2 linked regions of the Styela clava genome follow. The protein of the gene in region 2 interacts with the protein of the main gene of each other region in a pairwise test. Links are inferred from orthologs where the notes say so. Each region holds a gene or a part of one and is shown on either strand. Other genes may lie near its edges.

Region 1 (6,729 bases), on a different chromosome or scaffold from region 2:
TAGTTTTTTTTTCCATATTTATCCAAGTGAAGGGAAAAGCTAAGACGAACCAATCACATTGCCTCTCAGGTATGAACACAGCTAACTCATTCTAAGCTCACAAATACTGATGGTGGCAAAAGCCATAATCGATTACCAGTCAGATCAATAACAATACTGCAGCAAAGATTGTACATATCTCACATGTTAATCCCAGGATTCGAATCCATACAAAATAATGGGCATAGGTGATAAGTCTTAACACTTGGGACAATGACCCTTTTGAATTACAACAAATCGGGCTTCAACTCTCCAACAAACAATGATCATCAATCCACATGCTGTGAGAAGAATGATCACCACTCCTTTAATGACTGCAGATCAATATGCAACCCAAGTTTCTAGCCATACATTAAAATTAATTACCCAGAAGAAATATTATTACTGTTGACTGACCACTAATTGGCAATATTACAATTTTTACGGTGTGCCAAATAAACTTCGTATCACGCCAAATCATTGAAGCTCCCTCATTTAATGATATATCGAATAAAAAAACTCGGATTCGCAATATTACAAATTTATTTTTTATTTTTTGCCAAAAATGGAACACCAAGGCAAAAGAACAAAACTGTATGAAACTGAATTAAGTATTGTTTGATTACTATTATCTATCCGGGTATTGGATTTCAATTGGATGTATTTGAAAGGTTTCATGCATGAACATTTTTCAAACAATTTCTGGGGTACTATCAGCTGTATTTCCAGGTAGTGCAGTTGGGGACAGGACAACTGCATCGAATAACTATTTTTTATAGTAGGAATCTATGCTCGGCCTTGAGGTAATTGAGTGTGTGCTTTTGTTCTATTCATAGCCAATATCAAAAAGATTGGACAATTTTATTCAGTTATTTGATTGGTATATATATATTCATGCACTATATCAGTTGAATATTGGTGTTTGAGCGATACAAAAATTACAATTACAAAAATTTAACAATTTATTCAATCATTACCAACCAGTAATTTGATTTTTTTTTTCACCTTCATAACAATCCAAAATATTTGACAAATTTATGTTGCAAAATTACTGATATATAAAAATAATCTCTTGTGTGAGACAATCAGCATACAAAATACCTAATTGATCATACATAACATATAAATGCGAATATGAAACATTTTTCAAATGGCAAATTAAGTTTACTGACAGTTCCAATAAGCCACACCAAAAATCGAAAACTGTCCCTCTGGCATAGATGTGATATTTCCTAGGATAAGTCCTGATCCTGATGATTCGCTTGGTGTCATGGCCAACTTTATCTACCCAGGCTGAAAACAAATAAAACTCCGAAAGAAACAAATGTTCAATACAAATTAATTTTTACATGAATTTCAGTCACCGTTATTTTCCATAGTTTCAAAAAGTAAATTGGCAGCCAGGGTTTCATTTTTATCACACGCCATATAAAATTGTAGAGCGTCTTCTTCTGGAAATCCGAGCGCTTTTAACCTATCCACTGCCGCTTTATCTTCTGACGAAATCTGAATGTATTGGGTGCCTGGTGGAGGGCCAGTCCCCCCAGCTCCCCCCCCTTCCGCAGGCTGCTCAGTGCTCCCAGCAGCCTGACCTTCTGTGCTATTGATGAGCTGAATAAAAGCAGCTTGATTACGACTAATCTGCTCCAATAATTGTGGATTTGAATTTCGCAATTCCTGCATAAAAATTTGCAGATATGAAGGATTTTCTCTCAAAGCTTGACACATTCTCTGAAACTCTGGTTGATTACGTAAAAATTCGAAAGGATCTTCAGAACTTGCTGGTGGGTTGGTTGCCGCAGGAGTTTCTTCGGAACCCGCAGCTGCAACTGCCGTTTCTCCACCCGCAGCAGGTTGTGGCGTCTGAAGATTTGAAGGAATTCCTGTTGTCAAATATTCTACAGCCCTGTCAGGATTATTGAAACTTGCCCGAAGAGCAGCTACCACATCATCTCTTGCAAATCCCATGCTGACAATGTTAGTGATATTCTGTTCATAGGCATCACCAGTTAAAAGGGCAGATGCTGCAGCTGATGCTATCTCAGATCCAGTTGCAGCAGCACTCGAAGTTGCGGGTGTGGTAGATGAACTTGTATCCATTTGTTCTGGAGGTTTTTCATCCTCTTTTGGTTTTGTATCTTCTGTTGTGCTAGGCTGCTCAGGAGTAGTTGTTGGGGCATCGGCCGCTTGTGTGGTAGTTGCGGACTGAGCTGGAGCGGAACATGTCGTTTGAGCTGGTTTGGGTTTAGAAACCATAGCAACAATGAAATTTTTTTCAACGATATTATATTCTGCCAAGGTTTTTTCATCATCTAACATTTTACCAGCATAAATTAACTTCTGTCCGTCGATAGGATACGCCTCCTTTCCTTTCTCATTTTCAATCTTCTCTTTCAAAGTTTTGACTGTTTGCTTCTCATCAATCTCAATGGTAAAAGTCTGCTGATGCAAAGTTTTTATTGTAACTATCATTTTTTTATATACTTTTCACTATTTAGGTCTGAAAAATAAAATAATTATCGAAAATAAAAAAAATATCATGCAATTTCAGAATTTAGTAAGTTCTCTTAACAAGCAGAAATTTTTCAGATCATCTCGTTAGCCAGTGATTCTCAAAGGGGCAATTGACAGAATCATATTAAACAATATGATTTAATATTTTATATATTGTATTTATTATAAATGTTTTATTGTTTTTTATTTTAAATTCTGTGTCCTATCGTTACGTAACAATAGAGGCAGACACTATTTGCTGCAGAAGAGTTAACATTGCCTTTATTCGTTAGGGTGACATGTTTTCAAACTTTCAAAAGCATAAAGTACACATTATGAAACAAAATTCACTTATATTTAAAGGAAGATATTTTTTTTCGTGTAAGTGCGTTGTGAGATTTGCCCTGATAATTTGGTGCCGCATGAACAAAAAATTTGGGAACTGTTGTTGTAGGTTATGTGTCTAACATACTTGGATTCAATTAAAACTGAACTGATGTACACAAAGATAGCATTTAACATATATTAAGAATATTCGGGTCTCGTGTGGTTTCGTACCTAACATACTTCTAATGGGCCTAGCATAACAATTTTTTGATATGTCAATCCTAACCCCATCTGACTACGCCATCCAAAAATTACGTCACTACGACATCACAATCACGTCATAGAGCTTGCCAAATATATGTACGATCGCCCGAAATGGCATCGGCGCCGACGATAAAGAACTGACTAACGTCATCGATCTTTCTCCTATTGGGATCGTTGCTACGAGAAAAATAGCTGTTCGATTTCGGGTGCTCGTCTACGCGTCTTGGATGTCAGTTCGTATAGTTTGAAGGGCTCTATTACGTCACTGTGACGCCGTAATGGCGTTATTTTTGGATGATGTAGTCAGGCGGGGGTTAGGATTGACACATGAAAAAATTGTTATGCTACGCCTACTAGAAGTATGTTAGGTATAAAACTACATGAGACCCGAATATTCTATGTTGTGAAAACTAAAAACAATTCATATAAATAAGAAATTGCTAATTCAAAACATAAATATAAGATATTTCAAGTCAGCAAGTGGTCTATATCAATCTGACAGTGGTTCTCAACCTTTTATGGCTCGTGGCCCCCTGTTTATCATTTCAGAGGTAGTCATAGTGTTATTTTGATTGGTATTTGCAAATCCCATTATGTTCAAATAATCCATGCATAAGAACAAGCGGAAACACCCTTTTCAAGCAATAAACTACTAAAAACAAAAAGTTTTCTTTTATTAAAGTGAAAAATAAAATCAGTTTTGCGCCCAGCATTGTGGTCCCCCTCCAACTGCTCTGTGGGAACCGCTGTGATAGGAGCTAAAGCATGCAGTAAATAAAAATTGGATATAATACAGTAATATAAGTTACTTATCACTAATACATAATTTTATCCTAATGCTGTCAAAGCCTTAAAGTGCTGGCTCTGCAAAATAATGGCATACGGTGATCTTCTGCCACTGACCAAACCACCAGCTGAAGAGCAGTGAACTATTTATTACAGTACGGTATTCAGGCTTTACAGTATTCTCACATGCTATTATGCGTACCCGTACCGGTACTGGTTTGTCTGTTTGTGTATAAATAAAAACTGGATTTACATTGAACTAGAGTCTAGACATTGAATCGCAGACAGATGTTACATTCCTCTAGTCTATTTTTATCTTAGTATTCTCTGTTTAGTGTAAGAGAGGAGATTTATTAGCACAAAAACAAAGTCAACGCTGCCGTATTACTTATAACTTTTCAGACTTTTATTCATAATTAGAAATAGCGTCAAACGCAATTTTTTTTTTCTCCTCTACAGTCAGCAAAATATGCTAATACGTGTCCAACTACAGAATTATTTTTTGTTTTATTTTGTTTAAACACAATTTCAGTCCTTTCAACAAACGCGATACACCTGACGTTTATAACTCATTACCGGTACTCCGCAGATTCACATTTCGAGTGCAACAGCGCCCCAACGCATTGGAAATGGCACATGATATCACGGTCATGATTTATGCATTTTCACGTTAGTGGACATAACGATCGTTTTGCCTTAGTATGTTTATCTTATTGGACACTTTAGTGGACATAACGATCGTTTTGCATTTTATGCTGGCATTCTTCTTATTGTTATCTTTCTTCGTCACCATCATTATAAAATCGCTTTTCTCTTCGAATACTGGACTAATTGCTTTGAAATTTTCAGTGGTTAAAGTTTGATTTTTTCTACAGAAATCCATTACTTTTATTTATTTCAAATATTTCTGTTAGCTCTGTGAGATTTGTTTTTGTTTGCTATGACGTCACCGAACCTTCTGCGGACGCATGATCACGTGCCATCGAACGTGAAACGGCGTGAAGGCGGATTCTAAAAATCGTTGCTCAAAAATGGTAAGTTTTTTTAGGTTACCGGTGATGCTAAAGGTACAGTAAACCCAAAGTGACTATAAACCAAGTGGGGGACATGCATTGGTAACGTTATAAGCGCTCGTGTGACGTCACACCAGCTATTTTGTGTCCAGAGTTCTACCGCCGTATGATCCTAACTAAGTGATTTAATAAACCTGCGATCGTTAAACAGCTGATTAAAAAAAAAACGATGCTCAATAATTCGGACCAAACTTTCGCAGGGGCAAAACGAATGAACATTTTTCTGAAAAATTAATTATCCGCAGATGTTTCTCGGATAACTCGGCTCGGCGGTATGGTCAGCATATACGAAGTGAAGGTTAAAGGTATCCAACTTCACTCGATAAATCAACTACACAAATAAGACCAAAATATTTAACCAAAAGATACACATTTTATTATTAATTTATTATAAAATTCCTGATGTAAGTATCGCTACTTGCGCAAAACCTATTTTAACAAACTGACAGAACTACAATACAAATTATACTACAGAAATTTGCACTATTTTTGCGGTCGGCTATGTCATGATATTAAAATATGCGTATCGCAAATTTTCAACAAAGTGTACATTGCTAAAATAATATTAAAAAAATATACTACATGCATGGAATGAAGGATAACGGAGTATATCAAGAACATCTAATAATCTGCAGTGTATAAAATAAGATATCATCTATTTGACTTGAGCTTTTGCCGCAGGTCTACTAGCTTACCGTTTTTCAATAATTTTTTTTGTCTCCTTTTTTGCGTGAATATTTAACTTTAAATTGAGAAAATGTTTCAAAATTTTGAAAGCGATATTGTGGCAAGATAGGAAATTATATTTCAAGCAACTTTATCTGTCAGAAAAGTATCAGGCGAACATATATTATGAAAGGCATTAATATTTGCGCGAAATATAGTTTATACTTCGCGCAAAAATACGATTGCGTTTTTGGATGGGTGGCATAAATATTGTGTGAAACTATCAATTTTCAAATATTTATCAGATGTGTAAGACCTAAAAAAAGTTAGTAGCGATTGTGGGCATTCATCAGGATTGACACTTTCCATAGAAACAAACAATTTGAACCCCGTGTCTTTTTAGGGTTCCCCCGGAAACATCAAGGCCAATTTTTCACTGTTGGATATCGATAAAATTACAATTAAGTTTTATCAACGAGAACGTAGAAGACATGATGATGTCGCTAGATCACCTAGTAAATATTTTACATTTTCCGACGCAAAAGCATCGAAATATCCTGCCAATAATAAGTTGATGAGAGCTGCAACACCAATCACGGCGGCTGGTTTTTAAATTTTGTACCTTATAATGTATATGCTTCGATGAAATTCATTAGGCCACACAATGTGCTAGCCATGAGATCGTTTACATCAGGGTAGTCCAAACCCAGGCCCGCGGGCCACATGTGCCGCTTCATTATCTGTTGCCCGCGTCACATTCGGAGAGTAATCGAAAAATCGCATTTGGTGTTGTTTTGTCATAAAATTAATCAGAAAAACCTTTTAACACATTTTCATCACTAATGTCACTGAATTAAATAGCGTTATGACCAGCTGGGGAAACTAGCGAAGTTTAGTGATGTGCTTGGCAGTCTAAATTGTTATCTGGCTTTCTAACTTTTTGGTCGGGAATATATGCTAACAATATAGGCATCATAGAAAACTAAAAATCGAATGCGGATTCAATTAGCCTAGATTGGCTATGCCTGATAACTATGTGTTTGCACAATAAAATTGTTTGTTTTGTATTGCCCTGTTTACCTATTCTTGGCACTATTGTGGC
Region 2 (7,644 bases):
TTGCAGCAGAGTTAATGCATAAGCGCATGACTTCACCAGTAGTATCAGCGATGCCGTATAAATATTCCAACACTGGTATTGGAATGACTAAAGGTTCTTTATTTTCATCATCTGCAAAAACCAAAGATTTTTGTATCTCACTGAGATCAAGTAAACAGTTGGAAATGCTTTGTATACTGTAGTTTTCTTCAGTTTTGAAATAGTACAAAAAAGACATTGCTTCAATAAATTCCTGCAGGCCTGGGGAGAATGCTCTAATGTACGCATGCGAATCCTCATCCTGCAGTTCAGTAGCAATTTGTTTCCACTTCTTCATAATAATATCACATTTTTCATCAGCCTCAGTAATTATTTTGAACTTTGAGTTTGTTTCTGGAGATGTAATATCAATTCGGTGTAACAGAAAAATCAATTTTTTGCTGTCAATCGTTATGTCACGGCTTAGTTTCACAATTTTTTCCCATTTGTTGTGTTTTGTTTCCAATTCTTGTTGAAATAATTGAAACTGATCGATAACATCCATCAGAGATAATAAATGTTACCACTAATTATAGGTTACAGAAACAAAACGAAAATAAGTAAACACTACATTTATCTTGCCTTCATTGCATTTGAAAGCTGTTTATTTAACTCAAATAGCTACCTATGTATGTCAAGTTGGAAAAAGAATGTTTTTGAACAATGTAGACAGAACACACTCTCAGCATAATCACCCAAAAAGAAACACTTGGAGCAACTTCAACTTTCAAGGGCTGCATGAAATCATATTGAAAATTAACAGCAATATCCCAAGTAGATGAATTGACAGTCTAAAACTGATAATTTAATTACTGCTTCAATTCAGATATTTTGTTTGAGGCATATTTTCTTCATGAATTATAACTTTATTAAAGCTCAATGGACCTTAGTATGTAATATAAGCATCTAGATAACAAATATTCGTTTGCTGCTACTTTTGATAGAAGACCTAATTTTTAAAAGGATGAATACACATACCATTCATTCTATAAAATCAGAAAATTTGTGAATTCTGTAACGAAATACTTTATTACTCTCAAATTTTTTCACAAAAATCCAATGTTGAACTCAAATATTAACATGGACAATAGTATGTCATAGAAGCATTTAGAATAAGAATTGCATTCTGCCAGTATAGGTTTGTAAAATACCTAAAGCTTACAAGGATGAATAATCACAACATTCAACAATTAAGTGAAGATGTTCTTTGCCAAAGTAAGTGTCTTCAATATCTCTTTATAACAGGTAGTGTTTAAATCTGTGGAGAAGTGGATAGTGCGAAATCACTTGATTGATAATAAAGAACTTCAGTCAGCCATTCTAATTTAAATTACAAGAACATACTGTGAATGTGGTATCATATTATAATGAAATAGTGGAGAGATATCTCACAATAATATTCGCCAGCCAGTATTTATTCTGAAATTTGGCAGAATGAAAAATTTTTTTATGTCCGTCATTAATATTCTCGAAACAGTTTTGTGTCAATAATTGCGTAGTCAGAATTCATTCATTGTCTTTTTTCTTGTCTTTATCAGAATCTTGTCTGTTTTGAGCAAGTTGATCCATGGCTTGTTGTATTGCTTCACTCGATGTGTCCACACCGGGAAGATTTTGTAGAACACTCTGCAGGAACGCTGGATCAGCAATTACATCTTCTTCATTCGAATCTCCATCATCACCATATTCAGCCACCATCGGGGACTCAGAAATTGTTTTCTCATCCGTGTCCATGGCAGATTGTGAGCTTTCTTCTTGCATTGACATGCGCATTGCATATGCTATTTGTTCTTCTTCCGACATAGAGCTTATATCAACAGGGCGACTACCAGGAGGTGCAGTGGCTGGTACCTCTTGATTCATTGACATTGCGAGAGCCGCACGTAACATGTCATCCTCACCAGTGCCTGTTGCCATTGCAGTTGCTGGAGCTGACTGAGTTTCTTGGATTTCTGATCCTGCTCGAGCTTCTTCTTCTTGACGATGACGCTGTTCTTCTAATGACACACGAAGAGCAAGAGCAAGCTCTGGATCCGATGCTGGGTCAAATCCAAGATCAAATTCACCACCGCCAGAGCTGGGAGCTCCACCTTCTCCAGCAATAATTGGGGAGTTCATTAAAGCATTAGAAAGCATGGATCCTGGAGGTATATTGACAATATTAGATCCTGTTCCATCTTTTCCATTCAGTATTTCGATAAACGAAGTCAGTTTTGGTGTGTTCAACTCTTCTTCGCCAAAGTTTACTATTTCCACATTTACTTTTTCTTTTTTAAGTTTTTTCGCAACTTTATTTATTTCTTTTTCATCGTCTTCAATTGGGCTTCCGACAAAGGCAATAATACGCATTCTATGGTTTTTACTTTGACGATGTTTCAATGCAAGATGTGCAACACGGATGCCATTTAAGAATCTAATATTCCCTTTAGGTTGCACTAAAAGTAATTTTGATAGCAACTTTCCTGAGTCATTTGTCAATGTAACATGAACTTGAACATCAGCAAGAGAGAGTAGCGCAACATTGTTTTCAGGGTTAGAACGTAATTTTGTACGGCATACCAAGTTCGCGGCATCTTGTTGGGCTTGGATTCTTGTTGGCAAATAATCCCCGTTTCTCATGTATTCACTGTTGTCGATACATATTACTGTGCTTTCGAGAACCATCTTGATATCTAGTCTACTTCAGCGCGATTTAACTTTCAGATACTGGACAAAAAAGATCGCAACTAGTTGATCCGCCGACTGTTAACTTACACCTATTACTGTATTACAGGATCACAATGGTTCAGTTGTAACACAGCATTATTTTTATTTCATGACACAGCGAATTTATTTTTCGGATCAGTGACCCCGACCTTTGGCCTCAAACTTATGTTCGGATTAGGGTTGGATTATCCGGATAGCGGTTAACCGGTTAACCAAGAGTTATTTTGCTATCTGATATCCGGATATTATTGTGACGGTTAACCGGATAATAGAGCAGTATAAATAATACATATGCGCGATTAGCGGTTTTTATATTTTTTGTTGAGTGGCGACTGACATCTCCCAGAGCATATAATAACAACTTTTTCCACTCTAATCTGCCTATATATATTTTAGCCATCCGTAGAATGCTGGAGTGAACTTCACTATTACATCACAAAACACGCAGAACAAATGTGATTATTGCGCTTATTAGGAGAGCTTATTCGCTTTATAAAGTTAGATTTGAACTGGAGGTACAGTTTAAGAAAGACTAACTTAAACGAATTCATTTGAAAAGTATTGGTTGGGTGGGTGTGAGTTTGTTGCTTTTATGTCGGGTGTGGCTTTTAGTAATTGTTGCGTGTATTGAAGGAACGCATTTTATCATGAAGTAAACCAGTTTGAATTTCGAGGACTTATTTCACAATACTTCCGATTCCATGTAATCTGTGTAGCATTTCAAAATTTTGGGTACACAACCAAATGTTATGTGCTTCCTTTTAACTTTGGTATATATGTTTTTTCAAATTTCCCTGTATCAATCGAATCAAAAGATATACCAGCTGAAAATAAATCTATTCTATCTAAGTCAGGTGTATGTTAAACTAATTGAACTTAAAAGCTTGAAGAAATGGTCATCGTGAGTCTGCGACACCAAAATTTAGTAGGAGTCAAAATTTAAAGAAAATATGCTATATGTCTAGACAGAAAAAAACTTCCAAAAAATTTAACAATAAAAAAAGGAATAATATAAATTTTTACATAGGATTTGAATATGAGAAAATAACTTAGCAGTCGAGAGGAAGACAATTAGGACACAGAATTTAAAACAATGTTTCACTATATTATTCAGCTGCACTTCTGTACGATTACAGAGCTTAAATTTTTATTTATTGACACATGCAACATCAAAATGCACAATCATTTTTATTCGAGAAAAATAATACATATGTACGTATTTACAATAGAACTGTGTGGTGGTTTTCAGTCAATTCGCCACAAAAATCTTGTAAAATCGGTTCTCTGAAATTAGCAGTAACTAACTATCCGGTTAACCGGATAGGTAAAATACCCGGATATATCCGTTATCCGGATAGTATAAATTATAGGTATCCGAACTAACCCTAGTTCGGATATTATTTTGAATTCCTTTTATTAATCTAATATCAGAAGCATGAAACTTGATAAAATCAAATAATCGCTCAAAATTATACATATGACACTTCTACTTTGTTCCGATTTGGCGTCACATTGGGTCCCGGGTATGAAGTTGCTCGTAGAGTTGAGACCCGCGATGAGCAAATATATGCTCATTGGGACCCAAGAAAACCCGATCCCGAAATCCCGGGATTTGAACTGTTTTTTTTTTTCAGTCCCGATCCCGCAAATATTTCCTAAAAATCCCGGGATTTTAGGGCTTTGTTACCCACGTATAGATATTCTCACAAATAGCAGATTATAGCCTACCAATGACATATAGAGGACTTGCACGGGTCACGTGACTTCGTTACTGGACGGCAATAAAAACAAAAACGTCCATTTGGCTTCTGTCAGTTGCAAGTCGGATTATACTTTTCCGTTTTGTTTGGCTGTTGAAAATGGTTATTTCGTATTGTTCTGTTGGCTGTACGTATAGTATAGACAACGAAATGGATCTTCAGTTATATTCCACCTGTTTTCAAAAGATCCGGAACGTCGTGCAATGTGGATATCATCTATTGGCAGGACTGCTTGGTGTTGGTGTCAAGTCCAGAAGTCATCTCGCTTGTATTTCACTGTTTGCGGACAGCACTTCGTTGATGGTGAGTGATAATGTGCCGTTATCAATTTTTTTAAATATCCATAAGCTCTCTCATTTCAATGGAAAGCAGATGACAGACTACTGTTATTGGTAGGCCTAGACCTACTTGCAGACTTGACTTGTGTAAGGAATTTAATCATCAATTGCCATAATGTATTGTTTCCCTAGTTACTAGTTAGCAGGTAATCTATTACTGAGAGTGAACGGTTGAGGTTGAATAGATAACTAAAGTTTAACACCAGTGGTCATGCAAAAAATAACCAGAATTCAATTGAATTCGCCATCTAGGAATACGCTCGCCACCGCATCTCTGATCACCCTGGTAGTTTCACAGGTTCCAATCCCATGAGGGGATAGTTATGTGCGAGAGAATTGCAGCTCTCCTCCTTGCAGTTCACACGACCGCTGATCGGTTACGACCATCCCCCACCATCCAAGTCCATGCTTCTGAGAACAAATAACTGACTAACTAATCCCAACATAGACTGGTAATCGTACGAGAGACTGTGATTCGTCATATGATTTAGTTGTTGCACCTGCAATCCTAAAGGTGCTTGTACAACTGTCCCAAAATGTCTTTTTATTGTCATTGGTAAAAAAAGATATGCTAGCCGGAATCAAATTCATTTACGACTAGTGTTTGTGGTGGGATATGGACATAAATTTCACACCACTTGATTGTTAAATTTTACGAAAACTCTACAAATATTACAAAGCTAGTGCAGGATCATGATATCAAATGAATCTGTATCCTTTATCTTACAGATATGGGTGTGACCATGGAATAGATGGATGGCAAAGTATAAGTTGCCACAGTGGCAAGACCACAGTGGCACAAGACCTCAGCATCCATTTATTGGTGCTTAACGTAATGACAAAGTAACTTGTGATTACTGTGGATTGGTGGAAATAAAGTGTCTATTGTGCTTGAACGAAAGCAACTTCAATACGACCCTATCAAGAAAATTTTTTTGTTTCGGTGGGGTTGGTAGTGAAGGTTTCAGTCTAAAGTTGGACACCGATACTACAACCAAATACAGTTGCCAATGAAACTTAGCGGGGCGTAATATTGCGACTTTGTGATCTGAAAGAAAATTCTGATGGGTAGCCGGCTAGCCATTAGCTGATTAAGGTTGAGTTATGTATGATCAGGGCAAAAATTTGGAAAACGTAAATCGAATCGAGAGAGTAAGCCAAATGAGAAAAGTTTAAATAAAAAGTATGAATGGAATCAAGAGAGTCGGGGAAGAAATGATTAATCTAGAATTAAGTTAGCTCAGGGGAAATTTAGAAAACGTAAATCGAATCGAGAGAGCAAGTCAAAAGAGAATGGTTTAAAAAGAAATGTGAAGGGAATCGAGAGAGAAATGTTTAAATGGGAACAAATATCCATCGTGTCGAGTAAAAGTCAGAAAAAACGCGTTTACGATAAATCAGTATGTCAGTCTCGCAGCGTCATGCTCGGGTGATCGCAATCACAATATGAAATTGTTGACTGGCAGGACGCTGCAGAAACTTAGCAACTGAAGGGGAATTCCCAGCAACCATAACAGGGGAAGCCGGGTTGGATTAAGTATCGGTACTGATACGGCAATATATAAATAAATAAATATATAAGTACAATTCAGACAGGAAAAACAGTTTTGATGGGAAAAGTTCATTCCACATGTACTTTGGGCAATGATGCAAACTCAGTGATAATGGTCGTGCTCTGTGAGGACAATAAAGAAAAATGGTGACAATGCCAATGGCATTAAGAGGTGAAAAAAGTCACGATCGTTTAGGTAAAATAGAGATCCTGGACCGAATGACCAGTTATAGAAAAATCGAGCCACACAAAAGGTGGGGGACATGGGTTGTATACGGTACACTACTATACTTATAAGGGATCTATACCACTTATTGAAGCAGACTAAAAGGATACATAGGAATCCAGGTAAAAAATTTTCAAAGCTTGTTTGAATGAATTGTAATTCATAATTCGAATGTTATCGGATAAAGCATTCCATAATTTAACGCCTGTATATTTTATCGAATTTTGAGTACGTTTGGTTGAAAAATGAGTTACATAATAGGAACTACTGGCAGAGGATCGTGTTCTATAAGAATGCACGCTGCTTTGTTTCAAGAAATAATCAGTGAATGTAACAGGGAGTTTTTTGTTGTGATGTTGGTGCATCAATTTCAATATCTCTAATTTATAAATATCCACCATTTTAATAATACGAAGTTTATAATAGATTGGATCAAGTTGGGCATAAGGTCCACTGCCAGACACAGCACGAATGGCCCTATTCTGCATTATTTCAATTTTGCGTAAAAGAGTTTTATCAGCGGAGCCCCATGCAGAAATACCGTATTGAATATGGGCTTGGAATAACGAGTGGTAAACCATACGTAAAGTCGAAATTGGTATAAAATGCCTGAGTTTGTACAGTATTCCCACCGACTTAGATAACTTAGCAGCCAAGTTAGTTATATGAATATCCCATTTCATTTGACTGTCTAAATATATGCCCAGATATTTATAAGAATTGACTTTTTCTAATGTAATGTTGTCAATACAGATTAATAAGTTATGATTGGCTTCATGTTTATTTGGTGAAATAAGCATAGACTTAGATTTATCGATATTTAATGTCAATTTGTTAGCCTTCATCCAATTAACCACTTTTACAATTTCAGAGTTCACTCGTGACTGTATAGCTGGTAGAGATTTGTCACTATCTAGAAGTATAGTGTCGTCAGCGAATAGTTTTGCGAAGAAAGAAGAACAGTGGGTGAGGTCATTTATATAGACGAGGAATAATAATGGACCCAACGTCGAACCCTGTGGGACCCCGTGAGTCACTGGTAAG

What was found.
Region 1: the proteins of 26S proteasome non-ATPase regulatory subunit 4-like (region 2) and UV excision repair protein RAD23 homolog A-like interact in a two-hybrid assay, tested with the Caenorhabditis elegans proteins (3 studies listed by BioGRID). The link is inferred for Styela clava from reciprocal best matches to the Caenorhabditis elegans genes rpn-10 and rad-23.

Annotation. Positions count from the first base shown.
Region 1 is NC_135251.1:21,488,670-21,495,398, forward strand, and holds UV excision repair protein RAD23 homolog A-like, read right to left. Parts: upstream 2,540-6,729; 5' UTR 2,491-2,539; coding exon 1,375-2,490; 3' UTR 544-1,374; downstream 1-543.
Region 2 is NC_135250.1:20,480,379-20,488,022, forward strand, and holds 26S proteasome non-ATPase regulatory subunit 4-like, read right to left. Parts: upstream 2,831-7,644; 5' UTR 2,683-2,830; coding exon 1,525-2,682; 3' UTR 545-1,524; downstream 1-544. Other genes in the region: translin-associated protein X-like, read right to left, coding at 1-523. UniProt on the Caenorhabditis elegans protein: Binds and presumably selects ubiquitin-conjugates for destruction. Required for protein degradation and ubiquitin-proteasome system (UBS) function and regulates proteasomal subunit expression. Involvement in UBS might be cell type specific.